Callithrix jacchus: one gene and its partners. The protein of the gene in region 1 interacts with the protein of each later gene in a pairwise test. Links are inferred from orthologs where the notes say so. Each region holds a gene or a part of one and is shown on either strand. Other genes may lie near its edges. The genes, in order: REL, TSTD2, NCK2, LENG1, PLEKHN1, GADD45G and testis-specific serine/threonine-protein kinase 3.

The links.
Region 2: the proteins of REL (region 1) and TSTD2 interact in binary tests that used the Homo sapiens proteins (3 or more experiments, as listed by UniProt). The two-hybrid records come from large-scale screens. The link is inferred for Callithrix jacchus from reciprocal best matches to the Homo sapiens genes REL and TSTD2.
Region 3: the proteins of REL (region 1) and NCK2 interact in binary tests that used the Homo sapiens proteins (3 or more experiments, as listed by UniProt). The two-hybrid records come from large-scale screens. The link is inferred for Callithrix jacchus from reciprocal best matches to the Homo sapiens genes REL and NCK2.
Region 4: the proteins of REL (region 1) and LENG1 interact in binary tests that used the Homo sapiens proteins (3 or more experiments, as listed by UniProt). The link is inferred for Callithrix jacchus from reciprocal best matches to the Homo sapiens genes REL and LENG1.
Region 5: the proteins of REL (region 1) and PLEKHN1 interact in binary tests that used the Homo sapiens proteins (3 or more experiments, as listed by UniProt). The two-hybrid records come from large-scale screens. The link is inferred for Callithrix jacchus from reciprocal best matches to the Homo sapiens genes REL and PLEKHN1.
Region 6: the proteins of REL (region 1) and GADD45G interact in binary tests that used the Homo sapiens proteins (3 or more experiments, as listed by UniProt). The two-hybrid records come from large-scale screens. The link is inferred for Callithrix jacchus from reciprocal best matches to the Homo sapiens genes REL and GADD45G.
Region 7: the proteins of REL (region 1) and testis-specific serine/threonine-protein kinase 3 interact in binary tests that used the Homo sapiens proteins (3 or more experiments, as listed by UniProt). The two-hybrid records come from large-scale screens. The link is inferred for Callithrix jacchus from reciprocal best matches to the Homo sapiens genes REL and TSSK3.

Annotation. Positions count from the first base shown.
Region 1 is NC_133515.1:53,247,950-53,251,898, forward strand, and holds the start of REL (proto-oncogene c-Rel), read right to left. Parts: upstream 2,801-3,949; 5' UTR 2,547-2,800; coding exon 2,537-2,546; intron 1-2,536. UniProt on the Homo sapiens protein: Proto-oncogene that may play a role in differentiation and lymphopoiesis.
Region 2 is NC_133502.1:145,751,996-145,755,495, forward strand, and holds part of TSTD2 (thiosulfate sulfurtransferase/rhodanese-like domain-containing protein 2), read right to left. Parts: intron 2,687-3,500; coding exon 2,370-2,686; intron 1-2,369.
Region 3 is NC_133515.1:15,811,286-15,815,318, reverse strand, and holds the start of NCK2 (cytoplasmic protein NCK2), read right to left. Parts: upstream 2,801-4,033; 5' UTR 2,590-2,800; exon of another isoform or gene 2,534-2,589; coding exon of another isoform or gene 1,673-2,533; intron 1-1,672. Other genes in the region: uncharacterized protein LOC118147454, read left to right, coding at 1,673-2,533. UniProt on the Homo sapiens protein: Adapter protein which associates with tyrosine-phosphorylated growth factor receptors or their cellular substrates. Maintains low levels of EIF2S1 phosphorylation by promoting its dephosphorylation by PP1.
Region 4 is NC_133523.1:47,340,471-47,344,726, forward strand, and holds the start of LENG1 (leukocyte receptor cluster member 1), read right to left. Parts: upstream 2,801-4,256; 5' UTR 2,778-2,800; coding exon 2,646-2,777; intron 1,599-2,645; coding exon 1,419-1,598; intron 508-1,418; coding exon 245-507; intron 1-244. Other genes in the region: voltage-gated chloride channel TMC4, read right to left, coding at 3,379-3,447, 3,542-3,620, 3,877-4,032, 4,129-4,256.
Region 5 is NC_133508.1:39,194,571-39,197,765, reverse strand, and holds the end of PLEKHN1 (pleckstrin homology domain-containing family N member 1), read right to left. Parts: intron 3,050-3,195; coding exon 2,909-3,049; intron 2,782-2,908; coding exon 2,644-2,781; intron 2,418-2,643; coding exon 2,199-2,417; intron 1,919-2,198; coding exon 1,870-1,918; intron 1,794-1,869; coding exon 1,660-1,793; 3' UTR 501-1,659; downstream 1-500. Other genes in the region: PERM1 (PGC-1 and ERR-induced regulator in muscle protein 1), read left to right, coding at 83-186. UniProt on the Homo sapiens protein: Controls the stability of the leptin mRNA harboring an AU-rich element (ARE) in its 3' UTR, in cooperation with the RNA stabilizer ELAVL1.
Region 6 is NC_133502.1:73,441,998-73,445,386, forward strand, and holds GADD45G (growth arrest and DNA damage-inducible protein GADD45 gamma), read left to right. Parts: upstream 1-1,331; 5' UTR 1,332-1,441; coding exon 1,442-1,494; exon of another isoform or gene 1,495-1,761; coding exon 1,762-1,863; intron 1,864-1,999; coding exon 2,000-2,213; intron 2,214-2,301; coding exon 2,302-2,412; 3' UTR 2,413-2,889; downstream 2,890-3,389. UniProt on the Homo sapiens protein: Involved in the regulation of growth and apoptosis. Mediates activation of stress-responsive MTK1/MEKK4 MAPKKK.
Region 7 is NC_133508.1:68,965,795-68,969,414, forward strand, and holds the start of testis-specific serine/threonine-protein kinase 3, read left to right. Parts: upstream 1-1,309; intron 1,310-1,541; 5' UTR 1,542-1,639; intron 1,640-2,709; 5' UTR 2,710-2,793; intron 2,794-3,620. Other genes in the region: uncharacterized protein LOC144576966, read right to left, coding at 262-340, 601-855, 1,102-1,208. UniProt on the Homo sapiens protein: Serine/threonine protein kinase required for spermatid development and male fertility.

The DNA of each region.
Region 1 (3,949 bases):
AATACACGATGTGAAATCCTAAATAATCTGCTAACTTATCTAAACAAAATTTAGAATCATATGTATATACATGATTCTAAACTATATTCTAAATTATATAATTTTGCTTAGATTATGATTTCTGTTACTTTTACATTATAGATATCACATATTCAACTACATATACCTATTCATATATGATATCTCGTGAGAAATGAAGAAATATTCTTAAACGCTTTGTAATGAATAAAAGTACTTTTTGAGTTTTAATGCTACCTTACTACCAACAGAATCTAAATTAGGCAATGAAAAACTAAGCAATTTTTTTTGGTCACTCTTCCGGTTAAATTACTGTTTCAAAACAGAATGGGAATTTAGAATTTCATTAGCGAATCTTTTTCTATCTCTAAGGTCTTTATATAACAGATTAAGGAAAAGTACACAGATTCGTTTAATCATTTTTTTAAATTCCAGGCCTGACAGTTTTCTAATAACTGAATTACAGTTTAAATAACTTGTTACATTTTAAATAGTCCCATTTTAATGCAACTATTCAGAAAAGACCAAAAAACAAAAAGTTAAATCACCCTTCAACTTCCAAACCTTTAAAACTTTCCATTTCTTTAAACATTTCCTCCTTACATTTAGGGAATCCTTGGTCCTCACAACAGCACAAAATACAGTGTCAATGAACAAATTTAAATTGTAACACATTTTAAAATCCTGTGAATCTTAGAATAGTCTATATAGAAATGGTTGTTTTCTCTCGCATTTGAAAAAATTAGAAGTATTACATTCATGCAATATATTAGTAATGTTTGATTAAATCGCCAGAAGGCTGAACTTTCTTACTTACGTTAGGTATTCTTCATTACTTCCAAACAAAATCTTTCTGATAACCAATAAATTAACAAAATATTTGAAGTCATCTTAGTTAGCACTTACAATCTACACATGCTTTGAATTCACAAACGTACAGAATTATCTGAAAGTTTGGGGTCACTTAAGCACGTAAAGGGAAAGTTGAAATATTTTAAACTACACTTGTATTCTCACAACCACAAACTGAAATCAAATGTCAAGTGAAACACCCCAATTTCCTTTTCTGCCTACAGCAATAGCTACAGCATTGTTTTGCTCAACCTTTTAAAGAGATTCTTTAAGCTTCGACTTCCTCTTCTCTACTAGACATCGGCTTTCTTCTAAGAGTCACTGAACCAGGCAGTTTGAGGATGGGAGTCAAGTTCAGAAACGGGGCCCCCTCTTCATTCTCTTAGTACAGCATTTAATATATGTGTTTAGCCCTTCCTGCCTCTGCTCACGCTGCTTCCTCTGTCTGGAAAGCGCTCCCCACTCACCTTGCCAAAATCCTGGTAAAAGTCCAAATCGAACCCAGGTTACTTGATTTATCTCCCGGCCCCAGCTCCGGCTCCCCTACGCCCCTAACCTTAAACTACAGGCAGCCCCAAACCATGTCTGTGTATACACGAGACTCTTCCTTGCCTTGCAATGTTTCTTATAAACTTATGTATAAGAGAGAGAGGAAGGAAGAGATTCGAGCATTTATTAAGGGAAATTATATATTTAAAAGTAATAAAGCTGTATTCAATCCTACTTACTATTTAAAAGCACGATGTTCTAAAACTCCCTTTTCCCTTATTTTTAGCCGGGAGGAGCGGGGACTCAACGTCTCTATTCGTCAGATTAGAAACCTTGTGCTTTATCTCACAATAAAAACTTCACATTTTTTTTTCTTTTAAATACAGTCTCGCTTGGTCCCCCAGGCTTTAGTGCAGGGCCGCGATCTCGGCTCACTGCAACCTCCACCTCCCGGGTTCTAGCGATTCTCCTGCTTCAGCCTCCCGAATAACTGGGATCACAGGCGTGCGCCACCACTACGGGCTAATTTTTGTATTTTTATTAGAGACGGGGTCTCACCATGTTGCCCAGGGTGGTCTCGAACTCCCGACCTCAGGTGAGCCGCTCGCCTCGGCCTCCCAAAGTGCTTGGATTACAGACATGAGCCACCGTGTCCGGCCCACAGTTGGTCGAAGCAACATTAAAACTTAAAATACCACGGATTTTTAAATCCGTGTTAAAATACCACGGATGATTTTTAAAGCCGCGCCACATTTTGTACAACTGTCAGTACAAGGGGGATCACCTCTTTGCATCTGATGAAATTAAACTAAAAAGGGGGAGAGAGCTTGCCCGAGGTCTGAAGGTTCCTCATTCTTGTTCTAAAACATAAAACCACCACTTCAATACATACCCATTTTTAAGTATGGGAACTCCTCGTACTCCTTTAGTTCGATTATGACTTCCCTAATCCTAAAGTCGTTGGCAATTTCTAAGGTTCTTGCTTATGACAACAGGATCAAATTACAGAGCGTGGCTTGGATTTCGGACGCAAACCCTGAACCAGGTGACTTTTTAAAAAGCTGACAATTTTATCACATAACATTTCAAAGACAGAACGCGCCCCAGCCAAAACTAAGCTCCCTAAACTCACAGCGGCAGGATCCCCAGAAGAGCTCCTTCCCCCGGTAACACTCACCGGATGCCATGGCTCCGCTCCCCGCGCCTTCCCGCAGGCAGCTTCCAGCGTCCCGGCCGGAGGCGGCCGCAGTCAGTCCGTCAGTCAGTCAATCAGGAGGCCGAGGGACCTGTGCCGGTGGGGCCCCCAGTCCCCCGACCACCCCAGGGTCCTCCTCCTTCTTCCCGCCCTCGGTTGGGTTTGAGGATCACACCTTCCCACCCCCTGAATTCCTGCGCTCCGGGTCGCCCTGCGTCGCCTGTCCACCTTGCGGGAGCCAGGGGCAGGGGGCGGAGCGGGGCGAGAACCGATTCCCCGCCCGGCCGAGAGGCGGGCTGCTTGGCGGGAGGGAATTTCCCGCGGCTGACGTATACCCGACGCGGCCGCCTTCACCCGGAGGCGTGGGGCGGGGCGTCGCGTCCTCGCGGCCCCCCCCCCCCCCGCGCACGCTCACGCTCTTTGCCCGCCTCCGCGCGTACGCCCCCAGAGCTGCTGCTGCCACTGCGGCGGTGGTGGTGGTGGTGGTCTTGGCAGGGGGTCGAGGCTGCGGGAACCTAGGGAGCTTCGGGAGCGCAGGGAACGGTGGGCGCCGGGAGGTGACGGCTCGCAGCGTGAGAAGGCCGCCGGCTCCTAAGAAATCCCCCTCCTCCAGGTTGTTCTTCCGAGTGTAGTTTAAAGTTCAGGAGCGGGCGGAAGGGTGCGGGTGACGTAGAGAGGGCCGGCCGCCCGGGAGCCTTTGGGGGCGCGTCGGGCGGCCAAGTGGGGCTGATCCTGGCAGCCCGGGAGGGCGACGGCCGGGGTTTTCGAGAGGTGGTTCCCCCTATTCCCGATTTCGCACATGCAAATCTCCACCCCCGCGCCAGCGCGCGGGACTGTGGAGGGGGAAGTGCGGTAGCGCGGGGGCCTGTCTTCTTCTGTAATTCCTACATTTGCATACGGGGAGCTACCCCACCCCCCGGCTGATTTTTTTTCGTCTACCTAAATTGCGAGGGCACTGTGAACTTTATGTATTTTACCTGCTGAAACCCGTTTAAACTCAAAAGGTCTGCACTTCGAGTTGGTTGTCTCATTACGCAGTGTACTCAAGTTTAGTGAAGTGGACACCTTATTCCGAGATTTCACATAGATACCAAGAAAAGGGGAAATGGAGCAAACATTTAGGGCCATTAAAGGACCTAGGATAACTTCGTTACTTTCATTTGAATAGTACCTGCTATAGGTCAGATAATTTCTATACCTCATCTATGACATTTATTATTCCTAATTTTATAGCTGAAGAATTTGGGGTTCAGAGAATTACTTCAACATACAGTACTTCAGAATGCTGGTAAAAGAAAAGACACAGTTAAAAGCCAGGGTTGTCTGACTCCAAAGTTCCGTGCCCTTGCCGCTATCCTTTACTGCAGGTAGGTACAGAGAGGGAATGGGGAATAT
Region 2 (3,500 bases), on another chromosome or scaffold:
ACACTCATGCCTGCCTTTGCTCTGATTATCGTTCTCCTCCTGAAATGAAAAGCAATTTCCTTTTATATTTGCTGTACAGAAGACAGTATCTGTACCAAACTTACTTTACAAAAGTGAGTTTACTTTGGTCCCTCATTTAATGGTCATATCCAAGAGACAGGTATTAGTAACTCCAATTCATAGACAAGTTAGAAATTTGGTTCCATTCTGGCTTATCCTCTCATATAAGGAAGGATCTGTATGAATCATCATACAAAAAAGTTTCACTTCTATTTTTTCTTATATTTATTTAATTTTTAAATTTAAAAAAAAATTTTTTCCCCTATGGTATTTCAGGATCACTTACGTTTTTTCTTATAACCCTTTCTATGATACAGGTTATTATTATCCCCATTTTATAGCTGAATAAACTGAGGCCAATTCCTCACAAATGAGATAGCCAGAAAGTGATAGCAAGGACCTGAATGCCAGTCTTCTGACATCAGAATCTATGCTCTTTCTCTACTGCACTGTGCTGTCTTAAACCAACTAGCTGTGAAACCTGGGCAGGTCTTTTCATCACTTCTGGGCCTTAGTTTCCTCATCTGTAAAATGAGAATGCAAATAAATTATATTTTCCAAAGTGTGTTATGAAGCTGCTCTATAAAGTCACGTTTGGAAACCCTGTAGACAGCATCTCCCTCCTTAAGAATCACAGCAAAAGCCTCTTAATCTATTAAAGGCTCTGAGAAGTCTTGCAGTAACAACAGTTTGATTGAGTGCTTCCCAAATTTGTCTTTCATAACCATTTTTTCAATATCTTGTTAGCAGCCTCTAAAACTAGTGTTCCACAGAACATATTTTAGGGAATGCTACTGTACAGGACAATTAAAGTCCTCTCCAGCTCTGGAGTCTGAGTCTCTCATCAACAGCCTCATCATATTGCAGGGCCTAGTCTCCTCCATGAAACCTTCTTGCCTATTTCAGATCCTATTTTCCTTTCTCTAAGCTCCTTTAACAAATTAGTCTCTGTACCATACAATTCAACTGGTAATTATATAACCTGTTTTGTATCATCTGCTAATCTGTCTCATGTGTCTTTTTCTTTGTTACTCTAACCAGTAAGTAAATTCCCTGAAGAGTGGGGCCATAATGAAATGGAATGGCCATATCTGTGTAGCACACTGTAGTTCACAAGAGCTCATTCTATCACCATCCTATATAATCCATTCTGCAGTACTGGGAGGAAGGCAAGGCAGGGATTGTTACTCCAATTTTAGAGGTGAGGAAATGAAGGTACGGAAAATTTTAGTGAATAGCTCAAGTGTGACTCCTACTTCAATTTGCTTTCTAACTTTCTGCTTTCCAATAAGCAAAGGGAATGTGGCACTGAGTAGTAATGACAAAAATTTATCATATTTGGACTACAGTTGACCCATGAGCAACATGGGTTTGAACTGTGCAAGTCCACTTATTTGCAGATCTTTTTTTGCCTCTAGCACTCATGAGGCAATAAGACCAAAATCTCTTCCTCCTCAGCCTACTCAATGTAAGGGTCACAAGGGTGAAGATCTTTATGATGAGCCACTTCCACTGAAAGAATAGTAAATATATATTACAATTTTCTTTTTCTTACCCCAGCCCCGGGGCTGGAGTGCAGTGGTGTGATCTTGGCTCACTGCAACTTCTGCCTCCCAGGTTCAAATGATTCTCCTGCCTCAGCCTCCCGAGTAGCTGGGATTACAGGCACCTGCCACTACACCCAGCTAATTTTTTGTATTTTTTTGTAGAGACGGGGTTTTACCATGTTGGCCAGGCTGGTCTCAAACTCCTGACCTCGTGATTTGCCTGCCTTGGCCTCCCAAAGTGTTGGGATTACAGGCATGAGCCACCACACATGGCCCAGGTCTGGCTATTTTCACTCAGCATAAGGATTTTCTCATTTACCCATATATGTTCTTGCATATTAGCAGTTTATAGCATTTCATTGTCATGCAGTATTCTTATGGGACTATACCAGTTTATTCATTCTCTTGTTGATGGATAATTATAGTTGTTTCCAGTTTTTTGTTACTATGAATACAACTGCTATGAGCATTCTTGTACAAGGCCTTCTGTGGACATGTTTTTATTGCTGTTGGCATTATACCCAGGCGTGGGCCACAGGGACAATGCATGTTTAAGAAACTGCCAAACACTTTTCTAAAGTGGTTGTGCCATATTACATTCCCTCCAGCAGTGACCGGGTGTTCCAGTTGTTCCACATCCTCATTCACATTTGGCAGAGTTAGTCTTTCTCACTTTGGCCATTTTAATGGGTGAACTGTAGTATCTCATTGTGGTTGGAAAAATACTTTAAATCAAACCAAAATACAGAATGAAAATCTTACCTTATCAGCTCATCAGGGTTAAAGCAGCTTATATCAGGGAGCCAAGCAGACACTTCATGGCTATGTGGAAGGCACTCTTTTAGAGAGTTCTTTTCATCTGAAGATGAAAGACTCTTTGAGGTGCTCAATGTCACAGCCAGTTGCTTTAAAATAGAAGCTGTCTGGTGATAAACTTCATCAGCATGTTGTGTTGCCACATGTCTATGGATGCTGGTTCTGTCTGTGAATAGTTGCTGACAGCATTTCCACAATTCTTCTTTACATTCAAAACTCCTTTTTGTTGGAACTTCTTTGGTTTTGACAAAAAGAGCAAAGGCCTGCAATTAGATTACAAACACAAACACTGTTAAATAACCTTAAGTTTACGGCCAATAGAAGTCTCAGTGAGATTCCTTATATTATCTTTCCACAGGGGTTTCCAGTTTTATGTCCCATTATGCTATACAATTCTCTGAAGAGTAACACTTCTCTTATTAGTAAGCTTTAGAAGGGACTATTAGAGAAATTAAGACTAGGCTTTATATTAAGGAGGTTAAATAACTCTCAGCATCATAATTTTATTCTCAGGAATCAGTTACAGTGGAATATACATAATACAGTTTGGCCTAAAATATTACAAATAACACTATCAGTTATTTTCAAAAGGAAAATGGAAAGTAAATTATGGAGTATGCTTACCATGGAATATTAAGCAGCCAGTTTTAAGTTATATGGAAAAAGATTTATGATATAATAATGTTAAGTGAAAAAAACTGGATAAAATTTGCTTATGCAATATAATCTCAACCACATTAAAAAAGTACATTGAAAAAGACTGGGAAGAAATGTACCAAAATGTTTTCTTTCTTGGAAAATAATATTACTGTTTTTATAAAAATTACTTATGCTTATTGTAAAACAAACAAAATTCTCTTAACCAGTTGCCACCTGATGAACATTTATTATAAGCAATGCTGAATGAGCTTCCATGCATCCTCTTTCTATATCTTTAACCATCTATATAGGATATCTAAAATAAAAATTGAGGGGTCAAAAAGCATGAAATTTTAATCTGTAATAGTGACTTCCCAGAAAAATGTGCCAATTTATACTCTAACCAGAAAAGCATGTGGGTGCCATCTTATCCACAGC
Region 3 (4,033 bases), about 37 Mb from region 1:
CCAGTCTGTGCACAGTCAAGGAGGACTTCCAGTGTATTTAATATGGATGATAGTGCATTTCTCAAATATGGTACTGTGTACATAAGATCTGCTGTGTTTTGGAAAAGCTAAATAACCCCAAATGTAAATGACAGTGCCTGGGTAAGTACAGCAGGATCAAACAGAGAGAGATGAAGAAGATTTAAGTATGTAGTGTGTCCTAAGCAAAACACAAAGCCTGAAAACTGAGCACAGCTACCTGAAAAGGGCCTTCAGCAAGTCCCATCGTTAATAGGGTCAGTTTCTTCACAAGCGGACAGAGGGGTTTATGCAGCAGCCAACTTTCCCTGATGGTAATTTATGACCCAATTTCATCCAGTGTTTCATGATCAATCCCGTTGAATGTTTATGAAGCAGGAAAGAAGCTCAGAATCCATGCAAGGCCTCCAGGACAGGAAGTGGGCCAGGCACCTCCACAGATTCCCATGGCCAAAGTTCTTAATTTCAGCATCAAGTAGCCGCCAAAAGAGCACTAAGATTCTGCCACCGTCTCCAGTCAAAACTACATCTAACCAACCTCCAGGGGAGAAAATACTGAGGTAGGATTTTCCCTTGTGGTCACTTCTTCACAAGCAGGGTTAACACTTGCTTCGCAGGAAATCCCTGTTTCAAACATCAAAAAACCTACATGTCTAGCCCAATCTCCAGATGAAATGCATTTCTTCTCCATGTGTCCCATGACTGCCGTTCTCTTTACAGAAACCTCACACTGGCTTGAATCCTGTTACTAATTCACCCGTTTATGAACGCTTGGAAAGTGAATTGAGGGAGTGTTCACAAGCACAGTTCTGTACTGTTAAGTTAAAGCAGCCCAGGTTAATTTCATTTTCAGTCACTTTTCAGATTCGATAACTACATCCAAAACAGAAGCATGAAACACAACCTGAATCACTTTCATTCCTACACAAAATCCTTTCTGAGAAGCAGGGACTGGGTCTGGGGCCTGGGCCAGGAAGGGACTCCTCTACCTGTGGGTCCCGAGCAAGCCACGCCCACCGGCTTCTCTGGCTAGTTCCTTTCTGGGTCTAGGGAGGGAGCTGGCCAGTGCGATATTTTAAGCCCCTCCTGCCCACACTAGGGCCTGCTTATCCCATTATGCAGACGCAAACTTGGCAGAAGCAACCTTAAACCTGTTGGTAAAATAAAGCCAAATCTGCCAACCTGAATTGTCTGAAGTGGCCAAGGCCGACTCCATGCACGCTCGGCTTTGTCCCTGAAGCTGTTACAATATTAGTTTAAGTCAGGTGCCTGGGGTCCACCAGCCAATGACCCCTAGCATCCAGCGCAGACCTTCACAGAGATCCTTACTGTCTACAAGTTAAAGTGTGTGGCAAATTAAACCCCTCCACACAATGCCAAGCTAACTGTGTTTGTAAGGGAGTTAGGGTGCCTTAAAACTCACATATCAAATGTTTCCAGAACCACTCGGTGGTTAAATCGCCCTGAAAGAAACCGAAAGGCCGAGCGATTGTGAGAAACTTTGGTTCAGGTGGCTGTAAGAGTCCTGTAAATCTGGGGCAGGGCGCACAGCCTGAAGCAGGGCACAAAAGCTCCCTTCGCCGACGCGAGGACCTCCTTTATGCGATGTGACAGCAGCTTTGTGCGCGATCATAAATAGTTGTAATAAACACAGTTAAGTTCTCCCGGCCGATCTCGGCCTCCCGCGTCCCTGCGCCGGGGCCCTGAGATCCCCGGCTCTTCTTCCCTAGCACGCGCGCCCTGGCGACCCTGGCCACTGCACGGTCCTACGCTAGCCCCAAGCTCCGTGCCAGCCGCCGGCCAGCAGGCCAAGAGCTGCCTGCACACCCGGGGGTCTCGAGTCCCCGGGCCCCGCCGCCGGGCCCCTTGCCCTGATCCCCGCCTGCGCCCTTGGCGGGCGTCCCCGCCCCTGCGCCGGCCCCCGATGGCGGGGGGTGGGGACGGGAAGGCAGGCAGGAAGGTGCCGGGCCAGGAGGAGCGGGGCAGCTCGCGGTCGGGGGTGCCCAGGCCGCGGCGGGGCCGAGAGCACCGGTGGGGCGCGGAGTGGACCCGCTCTCCCAACCCCTGCCCGGGCGCGCCCCGGCCCGAGAGCCCCGCTAAGCTCCCAACTCCGCCCAACGGCCCCAAGTTTGCGGCCCCCGCCCCGCTCCCGCCGTGCCGCGCTTACCTCGCCGTGGGCCGCCCGCGGAGCCGGAGGGCAGCGGCGCGGGTCCCGGGGCGGCGGCCGCGCTGCGCCCGCCCAAGCGCCGCTCTTTGTCTGCGCCGCTCCCTCCTCCCGCCGCCGGGCGGACGCTGCCGGCCCGGGCGGACCCCGCCGGCCCGGGCGCCGCGAGCCTCCCAGCCGCCGAGCCCTCCCCTCCGCCGGCCGCCCGCTCGGCCGCGCGGCTCTGGCCTGACGATCCCGGCGGCGGCGGCGGCGGCGGCAGCGGCGGCGGCGACCCTCCCCCGGCGCTCAGCGCCCGCCTCCTCCGCGCTCTTCCTCCTCCTCCCGTGCTCCTCCCCGGCCGCGCCGTGACGCCGCCCAGGGGCCGGCCCAGGCCCGGGCGCGCGGGGCGGGGACCCGAGACCCACCTGGGGCGCCCCCCGGCGCCACCAGGCTCCGCGTCTTGGGTCTCGGTAAGCGCTCCGGGATAGAGCAGGGCTAGGGGACGCTCCGCTCTGCAGGCGCAGCGCGGGCCGGGCGTCCGGTGCAGGAAAGGGTCCCTACGCCCGAAATTGCGCGCGGGCGGTGGGTGGGGAGGAGAGTGAAAACCCAAGTGGTAACTTCCAGCCTCGGATGACTGCCGGGTGGGCTTTGCGTGCTCTTTTTTGTTTGTTTCATGTTCTTATCACGAAGCTCTAGTTGCTGGGCAGCCGCCCCCGTCCCGGAAGCACTCCCACGGCAGTCAGCGAAGCAGGCCTGTTGTCCATCAGAAAAGTGACTTGTATAAAAATGTCACTTCCTCCCTGTAATTGCTTGTGGGCATTTTTATTTATTTGCCTTGCATCTATTTACTTTCCCAACCAGACACGTTTTTAGTCCATCATCCCGTCCGAGGCACTCCCTAAAAGAAGGAGAGGAAACTCGACCTCTGTTGCCTCGCAGGCATCCAGGCCAGCCCCAGCCAGTGGAATCCTGGTTGCACACCCGTGGGGCAAAACCCGAAGAGGAGCTGCCCGAATGGGCCCCTAGAAGGTGGGTGGCTAATAGTGGGACCGTTCAGCCCACACAGCCTCGAGTTGTGGCTAACCTGTAAACAAACTTGGAAGATTAAAACCCAAGAGCAAGGGGAAAAACACAAGCTTCCCTTTCACAGGCACTTTCATCCGGATGTCTTTGCTCCTCCCCATGTGATTTCCCAAAGGAAATTCTAATATTCAAATAATTCTGATTTTCTGGCAGGATAGCCTGCATCCATGTTAATAAGATTCTTTCTTAGGCTCCTAATCTCTGCTTACTATTAAGGCAATAATAACTTACCCAAGATTATAAAGCAGTATTATTTGACTCACTCATCTCCTGCCTCTTCCAGAAAGGAAATACCCTAAGATAGGTAACTAGAGGCAGTGTAGCTTTGCAGTCAGACAGGTGAGTGACTATTGACTTCCTGAACTGTGTAATTTCACACAGGTGGGCCTTATCCTTTCTAAAATCTGTCAAATGGGGAGTTTTTTGTTTTTGTTTTTGTTTTTTTGAGACAGTCTTGCTCCGTTGCCAGGCTGGAGTGCAGTGGCATGATCTCGGCTCACTGTAACCTCTGCCTGCCCAGTTAAGTGATTCTGCCTCAGCCTCCGGAGTAGCTGGGACTACAGGTGCCCGATCCCATGCCCAGCGAATTTTTGTATTTTTAGTAGAGATGGGGTTTCACCATGTTGGCCAGGATGGTCTCGATCTCTTAACCTTGTGATCTGCCTGCCTCAGCCTCCCAAAATGCTGAAATTACAGGTGCGAGCCACTGCTCCCGGCCAGGAGATAATATTTACCTATCTCCTATGTGAAGTACCCTGGCAGTAGGTAGCCCTCAATAGCTCAATA
Region 4 (4,256 bases), on another chromosome or scaffold:
AGAATGAGTGTGAAAGGCAAACAGTGTTAGGAAAATAGGCTTGACACCACGGCACCCCCCGGAAAGGGAGTCAGGACCCCTAGGGCTCCCTGGACCACATGGTGAGAACCACTTTTCCACCCAGCCATCCCTTCACGGGGTCCCTGGCTGTTCCACCCAGAGCTCCTGCTGTGCCTGTGCCAGGCTGCTGCCAAGCCCTGAAGATCTGGGTCCTGCTCTGCCAGGGCAGGGTCCTCCTCCTCACCCCTTGGGTCGCTGTGTCTCAGAGCCATCCTTTTCCTTTCTGCTGTGATTGCCTTCATCACTGCTGTGCCGTCTCTTCTTCCCCAGATGCTTCTGCATCTCCCGCAGAGGGTCCAGGCGGCTCTTTATTTTCTCATCTGGGGCTGGGCCAGGCGGGGGACCCCCTCGCTCTGGTGGGAGCTGGTACCAAGGGGGTTGAGTCTGGGCCTCGGCTGCACTCTGGCCCAGGTATGTCAGGATGCCCAGAGCTTTCTCTTGTCTCTCCTGAGGGGTCAGGAAATAAAAGAGATGGGATATAATCTTTCAGGGTGTCAGGTTTATCTCCCTGACACAGGTATCTAAGGCCTATGGTGAAGCAGCTGTGCCAGGTGCTGGGGAGGGAAGAGACCAGCAGAGGCCAAGCTCCTGCCCTGGGGTGACGATAGCAGGGACAGTCACAGAAAGCAGAGGAAGGAGGGGATGGGGTGGAGCTGCCTGAATGTTCAGAGGCAGGCATCTTTGCAGGGAGCAAGCAAAGCAAGAGGACCCGTGGGTGGGGTCAGCAAGTCCAGAGACAGCAGGTGAGGAACAGGAGCTTTTACACTCGATCTTAGCCAAAAGGCAAGAAGTGATTGATTCACTTTTTTTTTTTTTTTTTTCCTGAGATTGAGTCTCACTCTTGCCACCCAGGCTAGAGTGCTGTGGCACGATCTCAGCTCACTGCAGCTTCCACCTCCTGGGTTCAAGCGATTCTCCTGCCTCAGCCTCTGGGACTAAAGGTGCATGCCACCATGCTCAGCTAACTTTTTTTGTATTTTTAGTAGAGATACCATGTTGACCAGGCTGGTCTTGAACTCCTGACCGCGGGTGATCTGCCCACCTCAGTTTCCCAAAATGCTGGGATTACAGGCATGAGCCACCACCAAGCTGATTTAGATTTTTAAAAGCTCATCAGGTTTGAGACCCCTCCAGTTTGGAGACCTGAGCAGTTCACCTAGCAGCTGGGGATCTCGAGCATCTACCTCCAAGCCCTGAGGGCACCCAAATGGCAACAGCCACCACTTCTGAGTGTGCTTTGGTATGGTTCTAAATTCTGAGTGTTCACTCTTGTTTAGCCTTAGTCACAACCAATGGCTAAAGTGTCCCTCCCCCCAGCTCCATTCATGTCTCTGATGAAGTAGATAAGGCCAGCTTACTTTCTCCTGTCGCTTTTCTTCCTCGTGCTCTTTATTGCCTCTGATCAGGCCTTTCCCCTCCTCCAGCAGCTCTCGAAACAGGTCCACAGGGCCAGAACTTGGGGCTCCCACCTCTGCTGCCTCAAGCTCAGGCAGTGAGTTCTGATGTCTGGCTTTCTTCCGTAGGAATTCTGTACGGGCCTGGGGAGAAAGTTACAGGCAAGACATTAAAAACCTAAAGGTAATTCAAGAACTTTTAAGTCTGGTGCGCACCACAGGAAACAGCAGTCCAGGGTGCTGGGTTTGTAAGAAAGGGGGCACCTGTCCTAGCAGGGGTGAGGGTAGGCAGATAAGGCAACACCTGGGTTTTGTAAACTGCCTTTCAAATAGTAAACCACACATCAAGGATGGCTGGGAGGAGGTCCCTGGCCTAAACCAAAGGGGTTCCTAACCTCAAGTGAGACAATTAAAACAGCTATAAAGGTAGAACAAACTGCATTAGGTCAGATGATCTGGATTCCAGGCATGGCTCCAAGTCATTACCCCAAGTCCATTGATGAAGCCCGGTCTCCCACCTTCAGGACAAAGCTCTCAGCAGCCTACTGAGATTCTAAAAACCCAGACTACCTCCCTCCCAGTGTGGAGGATCAGACTGGCTAAGGAACTGAAAGTTAGGTGTACACCAAACAGATTTAAGGAGCTATACATAAAGCCCATGTTTGTGTGTGTGTCTGGGGGTGGTGCAGGGAAAGGGCTCGCCCAAGGGGGTGGAGACTTCCCCTCCCTTGACGCCATCTCACTTCGTGCCACGGAGATGACAATGCCTCTTTAAGAAAGAACGGTGCTTAAGGGGGATTCTGGAAGTCAGGCGTTCTGCATGCAGTTAGCATACAGTAACTGCTCAATAAATAGACTGTGCAAGCCAACTAGAAAGTGATCCGAATTTCCTCAAACTGTCCAAGGAATCCTGAATTCGGTAAACATTTATGCTTCTCTTTTGTGCTAGACACTGCTCTAGCCATGTGAAATACATCAGTGGGGGGAAACAAGACGAGGGGGCGATCAAGGGAGATTTCATGCAAGTGGGCACAACGTTTGCCGAGCAACGTTTCGGAAAAGAGGTCCGCGCCGGGTCACGAATTACATACGGGGCACACGGCGCCTGCGCAACGCGTCCACTTCCGGCCCCCTACCATGGCGCCTGCGCGCTGGGCCCCGGAGTTCCGCCCGGCCGGTTCCCAGGCTTACCTCCTGCTGAGCCAGCAGCACCCTCCGCTCACGCTCCTTCTCTTCCTCCCGGGCCTGGGCCTCGTCACGCCGCACGCGGGCAACATTGTCCTTGTTCCGGACGTGCCAGCTCTTCTTGGGCAAGATATTCATGGCGTCGTAGCAGTCCACGGACTGGCACGCCCGCCTCTCTGCACTTCCGATTGGCGAGAGAATGCCCCTTCCCTCTTGTCCCTACTTCGACCACAGATTGGTTCTTAACTCATTGGTACGGCCCCCTGGCCTGTAACGACAGGTGATTGGCTAAGACGCCCTTTATCTCAGCGAATGCCAGGCTTTTGGCGCGTGGTATCCCCTAGCAACCGCTTTTCACATATCCGAGCCAATCGCAAGTTGGCCCTCCCCTAATGCCAGATTCGGCCGCCGATTGGCCAACACAACCATCAAGTCTCCTTGCGGAAGAGCACTTCGAACGGCCACACATTCCCATGCATTTGATTGGCTCCCGCCCTGATGTAGCCCTGCCCCCACCTTCAGGACGCAGATTTCAAAGCGCGCTCAGTCACCTCGGCTGTGTTTATTCATAGAAGAAAGATCACCCGAGAGTCTGGGACGTGGCGGCGAGGGTCTCTGGAAACCTCCAGATCCTAGAGCTGGAAGAGCGTGGGGTCTTCTCTAGTTCTCCTAGTTTTACAGATGTGACCTAGGCTTACAATTGGCCTGGAGTCTGAAGGTGGGACATGGGCTGCAGGGGTCAAAAAGCCGGGTGGGTGGAGCTCAGCGCCACAGCGCGCCGTGCGAGGAAGACTTTGTTCTGCGCCTCCTGAGGCAAAGAGAGGTGGAGGTCAGACAGCCCTCTCCCCCAATGCCTTTCAATGTCCCCCACGGGGTCCCTCTCAGGGACCCGCCTGGCTCACCGTCTCTCTCTGACGTTTGAGCTGAGAGATGAGACGACCGTAGGAGTTAGCCAGAGCCACAGTGTACGCCATCAGGATGCTGGAGGAGACACGAACAGAAGCCACTCCTGACACGCTCCTCCATTCTATACAAACCCCTGGCTCCTTCAAAGCCAGGATGTCATCTACAAGGACTTCAGTCTCCCAGCCCAGGAGTCCTAAGTCCCACCCTCCTCCTCCTCCTCCTTTGGACCCTAGGCCTCCTCCCACCCCGAGCCTCTCCTCTCTCCGACGCAGGTGGTGGCCCCCAGATCACGTGCATTCAAACCCAGACCCAGAAGTCTGGGCAAACTCACCTGGAAATCAGCAGAAGGGGTACAGCAAAAGCCTGAGTCCCCAGGAAGAAGAGGAAGTTCTGGGCGGTCTCAGGGAGGCTGGAAATAGACTCAGGGATCTGGGCCCAGATGGACGACTGCCCCCGGAATGGACCACATAGCTTAGAAGGTGGGATCCTGAAGTCAAGATAGGCTGGGCTCACGTAGAGCCAGGAGTCTGAACGCTGAACGCAGGGAGAGGGAGGGAAAGAGGCAGGAGCCTCTCGCACTTACAGGAAGATGCTGTAAAGCAGAGGAACGCTGGAGATGGCCAGACCCAGGAGAAGGACCAGGGGGAAAAAGAAATTCGCTGTGGAGGCCCGGAACGTGCGGGCAGCCGGAGAGCAGGTGAAGAAGAGGGT
Region 5 (3,195 bases), on another chromosome or scaffold:
GTCCTTCGAGTCCTGAGCGTTTCGGGCAGATGGTGCTGACGGCCACAGCTGGCCCTCAGGAGACCCTGTGCTTCCCTTGCAGTCTTGCTGGCCAACATTGGCACCGTCTCTGCCATCCGATTCTTCCGCCGGCAGGTGAGGCAAGGGTGCCGCAGCCGCAGCCGCAGCCCCAGCCCCAGCTCCTAGGAGCCAGGCCCGGGCCAGGGAGACGCAGGACGAGGAGCTGAGCACGGGTGCCTGGAACAGGTGCCGCCCTCGCCGGGGCCCCCTGACTCGTCTTCTGCGGGGTCCGGGGGGGCGTGTCCTGGTGCTGCTCCCTAGGACTCACCTGAGGGTCCAGCCAGTGAGCACAGCTGCTCCCCACACTGGGGACGGAGATGCCAGTCTCGGTGGGTGGAGGCCGGGCAGGTGGCTGGGCAGCAGGGTGGCCAGATTCACAGATGAGAACACGGGGCATGTGGTTAAATTTGAATTTCGGACGTGCAATACTACGGAGGCCATTTTACTGAGAAGTGACTTGTTTACCTGGAAACCGCCCCTGTGCTTCCAGGATGCAGTGGGGCTGAGCGGCGGGACAGGAGCTCTGGGCAGAGGAAGGAGTGAGGACATGGGGTGGCCTCAAAGCGGGTGGGGGGTCTAAGGACTCTGCCCTCCTCATGGGTAGGCTTGGTGGCAAGGGCTCCGAGGCTCATCACCCCAAATTCCAGAGGGACTGTGGCCAAGGCCTCTCGGGCTCTGGCCTGACACAGTGAAGGCGGCCCCTGCAGGGTGGGGGGTCTGCAGTAGAGCCCCGAGGGCCCTTGGTGCAGGTGCTGAGGGAGAATTCGGTGGCATCAGATGGAGGACTGGGCTCTGGGTTTCTCCTGGGGGCTCAGAGGAGTCAGAAACGTGGTGGGAAGGCAGGTGAGGGGACTGAGGTGGCAGAAGTGGGGTGCTGTGGGGCACAGCTGAGAGGGGTGAGAGACGCAGTGGGAAGGCAGGTGAGGGGCCTGAGGTGGCAGTAGCAGGGGGCTGCCTGGCTGGGTGCCAGATGGGGGAACCCCGAGGGAGCGTGAGAGGGTGTCCAAGACTGTGGGAGACCCCAGCTGCTGAGCAGAGAACATGTAGACGCGGCACCAATAAAATCTTTTCTTTCTCTCTCTCTCTTCTTTTTTTCTTTCTTGTCCGGTGGTGTCGGCCTCTCCCAAGCTGCACACACCCAGGCCACAAGGCCGCACCTGCCCTCCTCCTTGGGACACCCCCACCCACACCCTGGCTTGTGCCCTTCACACTTGCTGACCGGTGACCCTCTTGCCCTCTGACCTCACATACTCTGACCCTGCTAACCTTGCTCTGTCCTCCGACCTTCACACCCATGCCACCCTCCCACTCCCAGGAACGCCCCAAGTCTCCTCCCCGACTCCTGGCTGGCTGAGCTGAGGGCCAACCCTGTGGATGGCCAGGGCCTCCCTGACCTGTGACCTGGCCTCTCCAGCCAGGGTGTCCTTGGGATGGGGCCCCTTCCTCACCCCAGCTGCTGGCGCTGAGGAGCCCAGGGCCCTGGAGACTCCCCCCACCTCACTGGGTTCAGACCCTGACTTGGACTTTGAAGTGGCTTAGGGGGTGGGTGTCATGGAGGCCTGGCAAGGGTGGTCCTGAGAACCTGCCCTGCTGGGGCCATCAGATCCACTGCACAAGCCCGCCACTGGCCTCATGCCCTCCCAGCTGGGCGCACTTCTGGTGGGAGGAAGCCAAAGTCTCATCCCAGGGGTGGCTGCAGCCTGGGCCCTCGTTCCTCCTGGGGGGCTGGCCATCTAGGGGGAAGGCAGAGATGCATCAGCCTACGGGAGGCCACAGGCACCCTCCCTAGGAGGCAGGACTGTCACTCACCTGTCAGAGGCAGACGAGGTTCGGGTGAACCTTCCCTGGCAGAAGAGACCTGGGAACCCCAAACCACAAGTCTAAGAGGGGCACGGCCCCAGGCAAGCAGCTTGGAGGCAGCCTGTCCATGCGCAGTGCTGGACCCTGCATCACCCACATGACCCCTGCTCTCCCTTCCTGGCCCTGTCTGCCTGCCTCCCTGCTGGCTGCCCTGGTCTCCAGCTGCCCCTGCCCTCCTGTTTCCCTCCCTGTTCCCTTAGAGTCCCAGGAGGCCCCCACACCAGCCCCCCCAGCACCCCCAGAGCCCACGGCACACCGGCATGGGGGCTGCTACTCACGAGCTGAGGGGCGTCTGCGGGCTGCGGCCCTGCACCCTTGGCTGAGCCTCGGTGTCTCTGAGAGGCTCTGGACTGCAAGGCTCCCTTCTTGGAGAGCAAGTGGGGCCCAGTGGGGCAGGGGGAGCTGGAGCCAGGGTCAGAGACAGGCACAGATGTGGGCAACAAGGGGAGCGGGCTCAAGGGCACAGGTCCAGGTGAGCTCTGCGTGGCGCTGAGGAACTGCAGGGAGGGCCTGGGCTGGAACCTTGATGGCACCAGGGACCCCAGCAACGAAACTCAACCTCCCAGCACAGTCAGAACAGACCTCAGGCTTTGGGCAGCCCCGGACCCCAGGGCGAGATTCATGGGCTAGACCTCCTTAGACCCCGAACCTTGGGGTGCAGGTACCTCCCGACCTCAGGTGGCCGCACATCCCACCCTTTCTTTGGCTCAGCAAGGGACTGACCTCCTCCAGGCCCTGGACATCTGTGATTCTGCAGTGGGAGGTGGCCGGTGGGGTGTAGGGGTCGGCATAGAGGGGCGAGTGTGGTGTTTCTGTGTGGCCAGCGGCCTCTGAGCTGCCCTCCAGGCTCAGCCTGTTCAGCTGCAGGGGAGAGGTGGGAGAGGTGTGTTCCTCAGCTCGAAGCAGCCTAACTCTTTCCTTCTCTGAGATGAGGAGTGGTGGGAGCCAGGCCAGGGCCCATACTCCCACCCCGGTGTGCCAGGCCCACCTGTGTCAGGTCCAGGTGCAGTGGTATGGCAGGGCCTTGGCCCTCTGCCCGGGCTTTGCTCCTGGGTGACCGGCTGCTGCCTCTGCGCCTCAGCTCTGTCCTCCGTTGGCAGATGCTGGTGGGGTCAGAGTTGGCCTGGTCCTGTGAGGACCACAGACCTTCCAGAAAGAGCCTCTGGGGCCCTCTCCATGCAATTCCCTGAGGCTGCCAGGGGCTCCCTCCAGTCTTAGTCCCCTGAGGAAACAGGGTCCCCAACACATGCTTACCCAATGGCCTTCTGCCCGCTT
Region 6 (3,389 bases), on another chromosome or scaffold:
TCAGCACAGCGTAAGACAAACAGGCTCTTACTCCATCAGCACTGGATGGGAATCTCCTTTCGCCCTCTACTCCCCGCAGTTACTTTGGATGCGATTTGCGGCCCTTAATCGGGTTCCTGTTAATGTTGGACAGGGCTCAGTGGGCCTGGCCGGGCAGCTCCGTGTCCGCCCCCCACCCACCGCTCTTCTCCCGCGCCAGGCCAACGGAAGGGTGTGTGTGTTGGGGAGAGGGGAGGAGAAAAGGGGTTTTAGGATCTTTCGAGCTTGCCTGTAGATGGCGCCCCGGGAAAGAGATTCTGGCCGCGGGGTTCCGGCCAGAGGGCGTCCAGCCTTGTAGACCGCGCACCAGCTCCCAGTCCTTCCCAACTAGCGCGACTGCTGGGCACCCGTGCGAGAAACGGGTGGAAGGGAATTACATGTAGCAGGGCCAATACGGGGGCGCGCACTCAGGGACCACGGAGTGGCACGCAGCCTCGACCCCACGCGCCGGGCAGCCCGGCGACCCCCACGCGCGGCGGGGGCCTGCCCGCCCCACCAGGCAGCAGGTGGACAGTGTTGCTATGAAGAGAAAGCCTGGATTGTCCCTACTGCAAACCGCCACACGCCAGACCTCTGCTATTGTGCGCCCTCCATAGAAATGCAAACGAGCGGCGTGCGCCGGCCGCAATCTGCTCGCCCCCGCCCGCCCCCCTCTCCGGCGCCCAGCGGTGCTCGGCCAAGGGCGGGGAGGTGGGGTAGGAGCTTCCAGCGACAACTCAATGTATACATTGAGTGTGCGTGGGAGGCATCGTCGGCGCTCTCCGGACGCTAGTGGTCAGCTGCAAGGGGCTGTGCCCACTGCCTTTTGCAAGCCCCTAACTGGCACTGCTTTTACCTTAATTTCCGGCTCCAATGCAACAGTTTCATAAACTTCAAATTAAAGGAAAGAAACAAATAGAAAGGTAGCAATAAAAATAAATGCCAAAAAAATTCCTTTTGATTCTATAAAGGTGCTTTTCGCAAATTGCAGCAACCTATTAGCAAACAAGGTTTTTGTGGGTTGGTTTTTTTTTTTTTTTTCTTTTTCCTTTTAAGGACTTCAAAAAAAAAAAAAAAAAGGCGAGATGAAATCTGCAGGCTCTAGTCTGCCTGGTAACACCCCAACAAAAGCGGCAGATTTGAGGCATTGTCATCCCCCGCACCCCTCCCCACGTGGCCTTCTGGCACGAGCCGCCGGCCCGCCGCCTCATTTACATCAGAAAGCGGGTGCCGGCCAATAGGCGCACAGCCTCGCGCCAGCTGGCGGCGCAGCACCCTCCAGCCTATATAAGGGCGCGCGGCGTAGCAGGGGCGCAGTCGCTAGTGGTAGATGAGCCGAGCCGAGATCTAACTCACCGTGTGTTCTCCCGTGCCCCCTCCGCGCTCTCCGCTTGTGGATAACTTGCTGCTGGTCGATCGCGCTATGACTCTGGAAGAAGTCCGTGGCCAGGACACAGTTCCGGAAAGCACAGCCAGGTGGGTCTCAGGGCTGGGAGAAAGCGGCTGGTCGGTCGGCGGCCTTCAGGGCCCTCCAGGGTGGGAGTAGGAGCCTGGGGTATCGGCGTAGGAGCCGAGCGCTGGGGTATCGGCGGCAGATCCAGGTTGGAGAGGTTGGGTGCGGGCGCCGAGCCGGGTCTGGAGTGTAGTTGGAGTGCCACGGGTGCGTCCGGGTGCGTCCGGGTGACCGGGGCTGGGGGCTCCTACCCCGACCGGCTCCGGCTCACTGTGCTGGCTCCTCCGCAGGATGCAGGGTGCCGGGAAAGCGCTGCACGAGTTGCTGCTGTCGGCCCAGCGCCAGGGCTGCCTCACTGCCGGCGTCTACGAGTCAGCCAAAGTCCTGAACGTGTAAGTGTAGACACTGCCAAGGCTGGGATACCGGGGCGGGGGTGAATGACTAGGAGACGGGCGGATGGGAGGGGTGGCGGCGGGAGACCTCTGCTCGCGGTTTCTGACCTTGGTCCCCACCTTGCTGCCCTCGCAGGGACCCCGACAATGTGACCTTCTGTGTGCTGGCTGCGGATGAGGAGGACGAGGGCGACATCGCGCTGCAGATCCATTTTACGCTGATCCAGGCGTTCTGCTGCGAGAACGACATCGACATCGTGCGCGTGGGCGATGTGCAGCGGCTGGCGGCTATCGTGGGCGCCGGCGAGGAGGCGGGCGCGCCGGGCGACCTGCACTGCATCCTCATTTCGGTGAGTAGAGTCCCGTCCCGTCCCCGCCCGGGTGTCGTTCCCGCCTCGGCCGGCTGCCAGCCAGGCTGACCCTGCTCTCTCTCCGCAGAACCCCAATGAGGACGCCTGGAAGGACCCCGCTTTGGAGAAGCTCAGCCTGTTTTGCGAGGAGAGCCGCAGCGTTAACGACTGGGTGCCCAGCATCACCCTCCCCGAGTGACGGCCCGGTGGGGACCTTGGTCTGATCGACGTGGTGACGCCCCGGGGCGCCTAGAGCGCGGCTGGCTCTGTGGAGGGGCCCTCGGAGGGTGCCCGAGTGCGGCGTGGAGACTGGCAGGCGGGGGGGGGCGCCTGGAGAGCGAGGAGGTGCGGCCTCCCGAGGAGGGGCCCAGCAGCGGCTGGGCCAGGCTGGCCCGAGCTGAGGACTCTGCAAGTGCATGGAGCGGGCTGCTCGCCCAGGAAGGCCTAGGCTGGGACGTTGGCTGCAGGGCCGGGAAGGACAGACTGGCCGGGCAGGCGTGACTCAGCAGCCTGCGCTCGCAGGAAGGAGCGGCGCCCTGGACTTGGTACAGTTGCAGGAGCGTGAAGGACTTAGCCGACTGCGCTGCTTTTTCAAAAACGGATCCGGGCAATGCTTCGTTTTCTAAAGGATGCTGCTGTTGAAGCTTTGAATTTACAATAAACTCTTTGAAACAAACTTATGCTCTTTATTGAGGGTAGGGGATCTTTGTGTCGGGGGAGGTGGTGAGCAGGGTTTCAGAGGATTGCTGGAACTTCGTGGAACTAATGGCACCTGTTCCGTCTTCCTGTCGGCAAGAATGACAGGCTCGTCGGCGCTGGCAGAGGAAGGGCATGCTGCCCACTGCTAGGGTAGAGCTTGGGCCCAGCTCCTACTTTTCTCCTTTTAGGTAGATTCTAAACTTGCAAAACAGGAGCGTATTTTAGATAAGACATCAGTGCAGCAACTAAAGCCTCGCCTTCCAAAGCGATAACAGTGACCTCTGCCTCCCCTCCCCCTCCCTCGGTCCCCCTCCCCCTCCCTCCCACAGCTGCTTATCTGAACAGCTTGCTGGAGGCCGCAGGCTTTCCTGCACAATGAGCATTGCCTTCTGCAGACCCTGCCCTTTGTGGTCCCTGAGGACGGTGGCAGGCTGCTCCTGCTCTTGGGGACTTTTTCCTGTTAAATGCTCTGACACA
Region 7 (3,620 bases), on another chromosome or scaffold:
TAAAAGTATGCTTGTGTAGGCCCAAGAAGCGCAGAGAAAAATAACCCTGCTAAGACCACGCCCCGCACACCGAGCCCCTCTGGTTGCGGCTCAACCCCACAAGGGTCCTAAGGCCTCGCAGGCCTCGTCTGCAGCGGGCCGACGTCGAGCTCGGGCCTCGCCCTTCCCCGACGCCCTCTGGCTAGGCCCCGCCTCAGACCTGCCCGCAACGAGGGCCCGCCCACCGACCGCGCCCCCTGTGGTCCCGCCCCTCACCGGCTCTCACGGGCGCAAGGGAACTAGGTGTCTCTTCCTTTTGCCCAGAAAATAGTAGTTAATATTCTGCCAACGGTGCTTCCACCTGGAGGGAAGGGAAATCGAAGACAGGGTGCAGGCAAGGATCCTCTCCCTCCGGGTCTGCGCCCACTCCGCCCAGCCCCTTCCTTCCTTCCGCTCCCTGTCGCCTTCAGGCCCCGCCCTTCCCACCAAGTTCCGCCCACTCCCAGGCCGGGATCTTCGGCTCTGGGGATCCGCCCTTTCCCTAGACCGCGCCTCTTCGCGTAGGCCCCGCCCCCCGTCTACTCCCCGGGTCCTCGCCCCGCCCCTCCCCCGCGCACTCACGTGAGTCTCGGGCGTGCGCCGTAGCAGCTGGGCCAGCGTGCTGAGGGCACGTCGGCCAGGCCTGTGTCCCCGGGCAGCAGTAGCAGTTTGCGTGCCGGCCAGCGCCAAGCGGCGCCCGGAGGGTGGCGGCGCTGCGGGCTCAGCCAGTAGTCACCCAGGCTGCGGCGGGTGGCGGATACCGGCAACATTGGGCCCCGGCTGCCCCAGAAACACAACTCCTGGTCCAGGCGGTGCGGGGTTGTGGCCCGGGGCCGCCTGCGGGGGAGATGGCACAGCAGTCACCCCTGGAGAACAGGACAGGCGGGGAGGAGGGAGCTTCCTCGGATCGGATGAGGCAGGGCGCGGGCCGGAGTCACTCCTGGTCGATTTAGAGGGACTGGAGGCCCCTAGCGGGGCCTTCCCAAAGACCTGGGTGCCTCCTACCCCAGCCGCCAAACCAGGGCGCTTTATCCCGCGGGCGCCCTCCCTTGGTCCCCCTCACCGGGATAGAAGAAAATTCACCACGAAGTGAGCAGTCTCGGTGAATAGCATGATGTCCAGCCGGTCTGGCCCGACTTCGGCCTCTTTAATACCTGCCTGGGCGTGGAGGGGGAGGCCTGAAAACCCATAGGCCCCCTGGGACCGACTGTTTTTAGCAGGAGGCCAGGAGGTGTCAGCTGGCAGAGGAGGTGGGGGTAGAGCTGGTCTCTCGTGAGGTCTAGTCTGGTCTGCCCCCACTGGCCACTTCAGTGGGAGGGGGCTGGTCACCGGATCTCCAAGTTCACCAGAGACACTCCTCAGGGCCAAAGACAGAAGTGCAAGGACAGGGAAAGGCAGTAGGAGGGGACCAGGGACAGAAAGGTCAGCTGCCCGTTGGAAAAACCCTACCCTATCCCACCCAGGGCCTCCAGACCCTGCTCAAACAGTTTTTTTTTGAGACAGGGTCTCACTTTGTCATCCAGGCTAGAATACAGTGGGGTGATCATAACTCACTGCAGCCTCGACCTCCTGAGCTCAAACGATCTTCCTGCCTCAGTCCCCCAAGTAACTGGGACTACAGGTACTCACCACCACACCTGGCTAATGTTTTGTATTTTTTGTAGATACAGAGATTCACTATGTTGCCAAGGCTGGTCTCCAACTCCTGAGCTCAAGTGACCCACCAGCCTTGGCCTCCGAAATCTAGGATTATAGCTGAGCCACCAAGCCCAGCCTTTTCTTTTCTTTGCGTTAGGGTCTCAACTCTGTCACCCAGGCTGGGGTGCAGTGGCACAATCACTACTCACTGCATTCTCAACCTCCCAGGGCTCAAGCAATTCTCCTGCCTTTGCAGGAAGACTGCTGGGATTGAAGCAGCTGGGATGGCAGGCCCATGCCACCAAGTTCGACTAATTGTGTGTGTGTGTGTGTGTGTGTGTGTGTGTGTGTGATTTATTTATTTATTTTAAAGATGGGGTTTCACCATGATGGCCAGGCTGATCGTGAACTCCTGACCTCAGGTGATCCACCCACCTCGGCCTCCCAAAGTGCTAGGATTACAGGCATGAGCCACCGTGCCTGGTGTTTTTGTTTTTGTTTTGTTTTGTTTTTTAATAGAGATGGGGTTTCTCCATCTTGACCAGGCTGGTCTCAAACTCCTGACCTCAGGTGATCCACCCACCTTTGCCTCCCAAAGTGCTGGGATTACAGGCGTGAGCCACTGCGCCCGGCCATTTTTTGTGTTTTTTTTGTAGAGATGAGAGTTTTGCCATGTTGCCTAGGCTGGTCTCAAACTCCTGGGATCAAACAGCCTGCCCCTCTCCCAATCCGCTTTCCCAAGTGCTGGGGTTGTAGGCGTGAGCCACCACTCCTGGCTGGCCTCACACATTCCGGATGGTGTGCTCAGGCACAACTCACACCTCAAAGGGCCTTCTCTTCTCCCAGGCTTAGATGCACCCTGACCTGTTCCCATGGCCCTCATAGGAGCCTTTTCCCTAATTCTTTGCATGCTTAAATGTCAGCTCCTCAGCCAACTCTAGTTGGAGGCTGCTGGGGCTCCAGGACCCCCTAAACTGTCAGCAAAGTCCTGGTCCTGACACTTTCCTTCCCTGGAACTGAAAAGTCGATCTGTTTAACCCTCTCTTTTTGCAGAAGAGGCAACAGGTTCACAATGGGGCAGTGAAAAGCCAAAAGTAAAACCTAAGCTTTCTACAACTCTGCCTGCTCTTACAAAAGGTGAGACAACCCTTCTGTGTGTCCTTGTCCAGCTCAGGGCATGGGGTTCAGGGCTCAGAGCCCAGGCTGCTCCTGGCTCCTCCCTGATCCCTGGGGATCCTAAGGAACATGCTGGCCCAGCTCCCCTTCCCACATTGCCAGTTTGGGCTATTTCCCCTCCAGTGACTCACACTGGCTGCTGGGGAGAGTGGGCAGCTGTTCTGAGCCCCCAGAGCCCAGAACAGGTCCTGACTTGCCCCCCAGGTTGTGCAGCCATATTTGGGAATTTAATCTTTTTTTCCTCCATGGGGAATCTCCTTCCCCTAATCCCTTCTTTTTTTCCCTATCTTCAACCATTTTCCATATCTTCAGCCTCTCCCTCCCTGATGACTTCTTCCCATCAGCAGACAAAGAAGCTCTAGCCTTTCCTATCTTTGAAAAAAGAAAGCCCTCCCTCCACTCCACATCCTTCTCCAGCTCCCCTCTGCAGCCAGCATTCTTGAAGGAGTTGTATACACACGTTGTTTCCACTTCCTCACTCAGCCCCTGCAATCTGGCTTCCTCCCCCACCATTCCACAGGAACAACCCACCAAGGTCACCACTGACCTCCTTGTTGCTAAATCCAAGGGATGCTTACAAGTCCTTATCTGTCTTGACCCCTTAGCAGTGGCCAGCTTTGACACAAATAACTCCCTCCTCTTTGAGGTACTTTTAGGCCCTTGTATTTCTGGATACTGTGCACTTTTGATTTTCTTGCTATCTTACGGTTTGCTGCCACATGGCAAATTTCTTATCCTTTGCTCACTCCCTATTCATGGTTGTTCCCAGGCCTGCTAGTCTGTCCCTG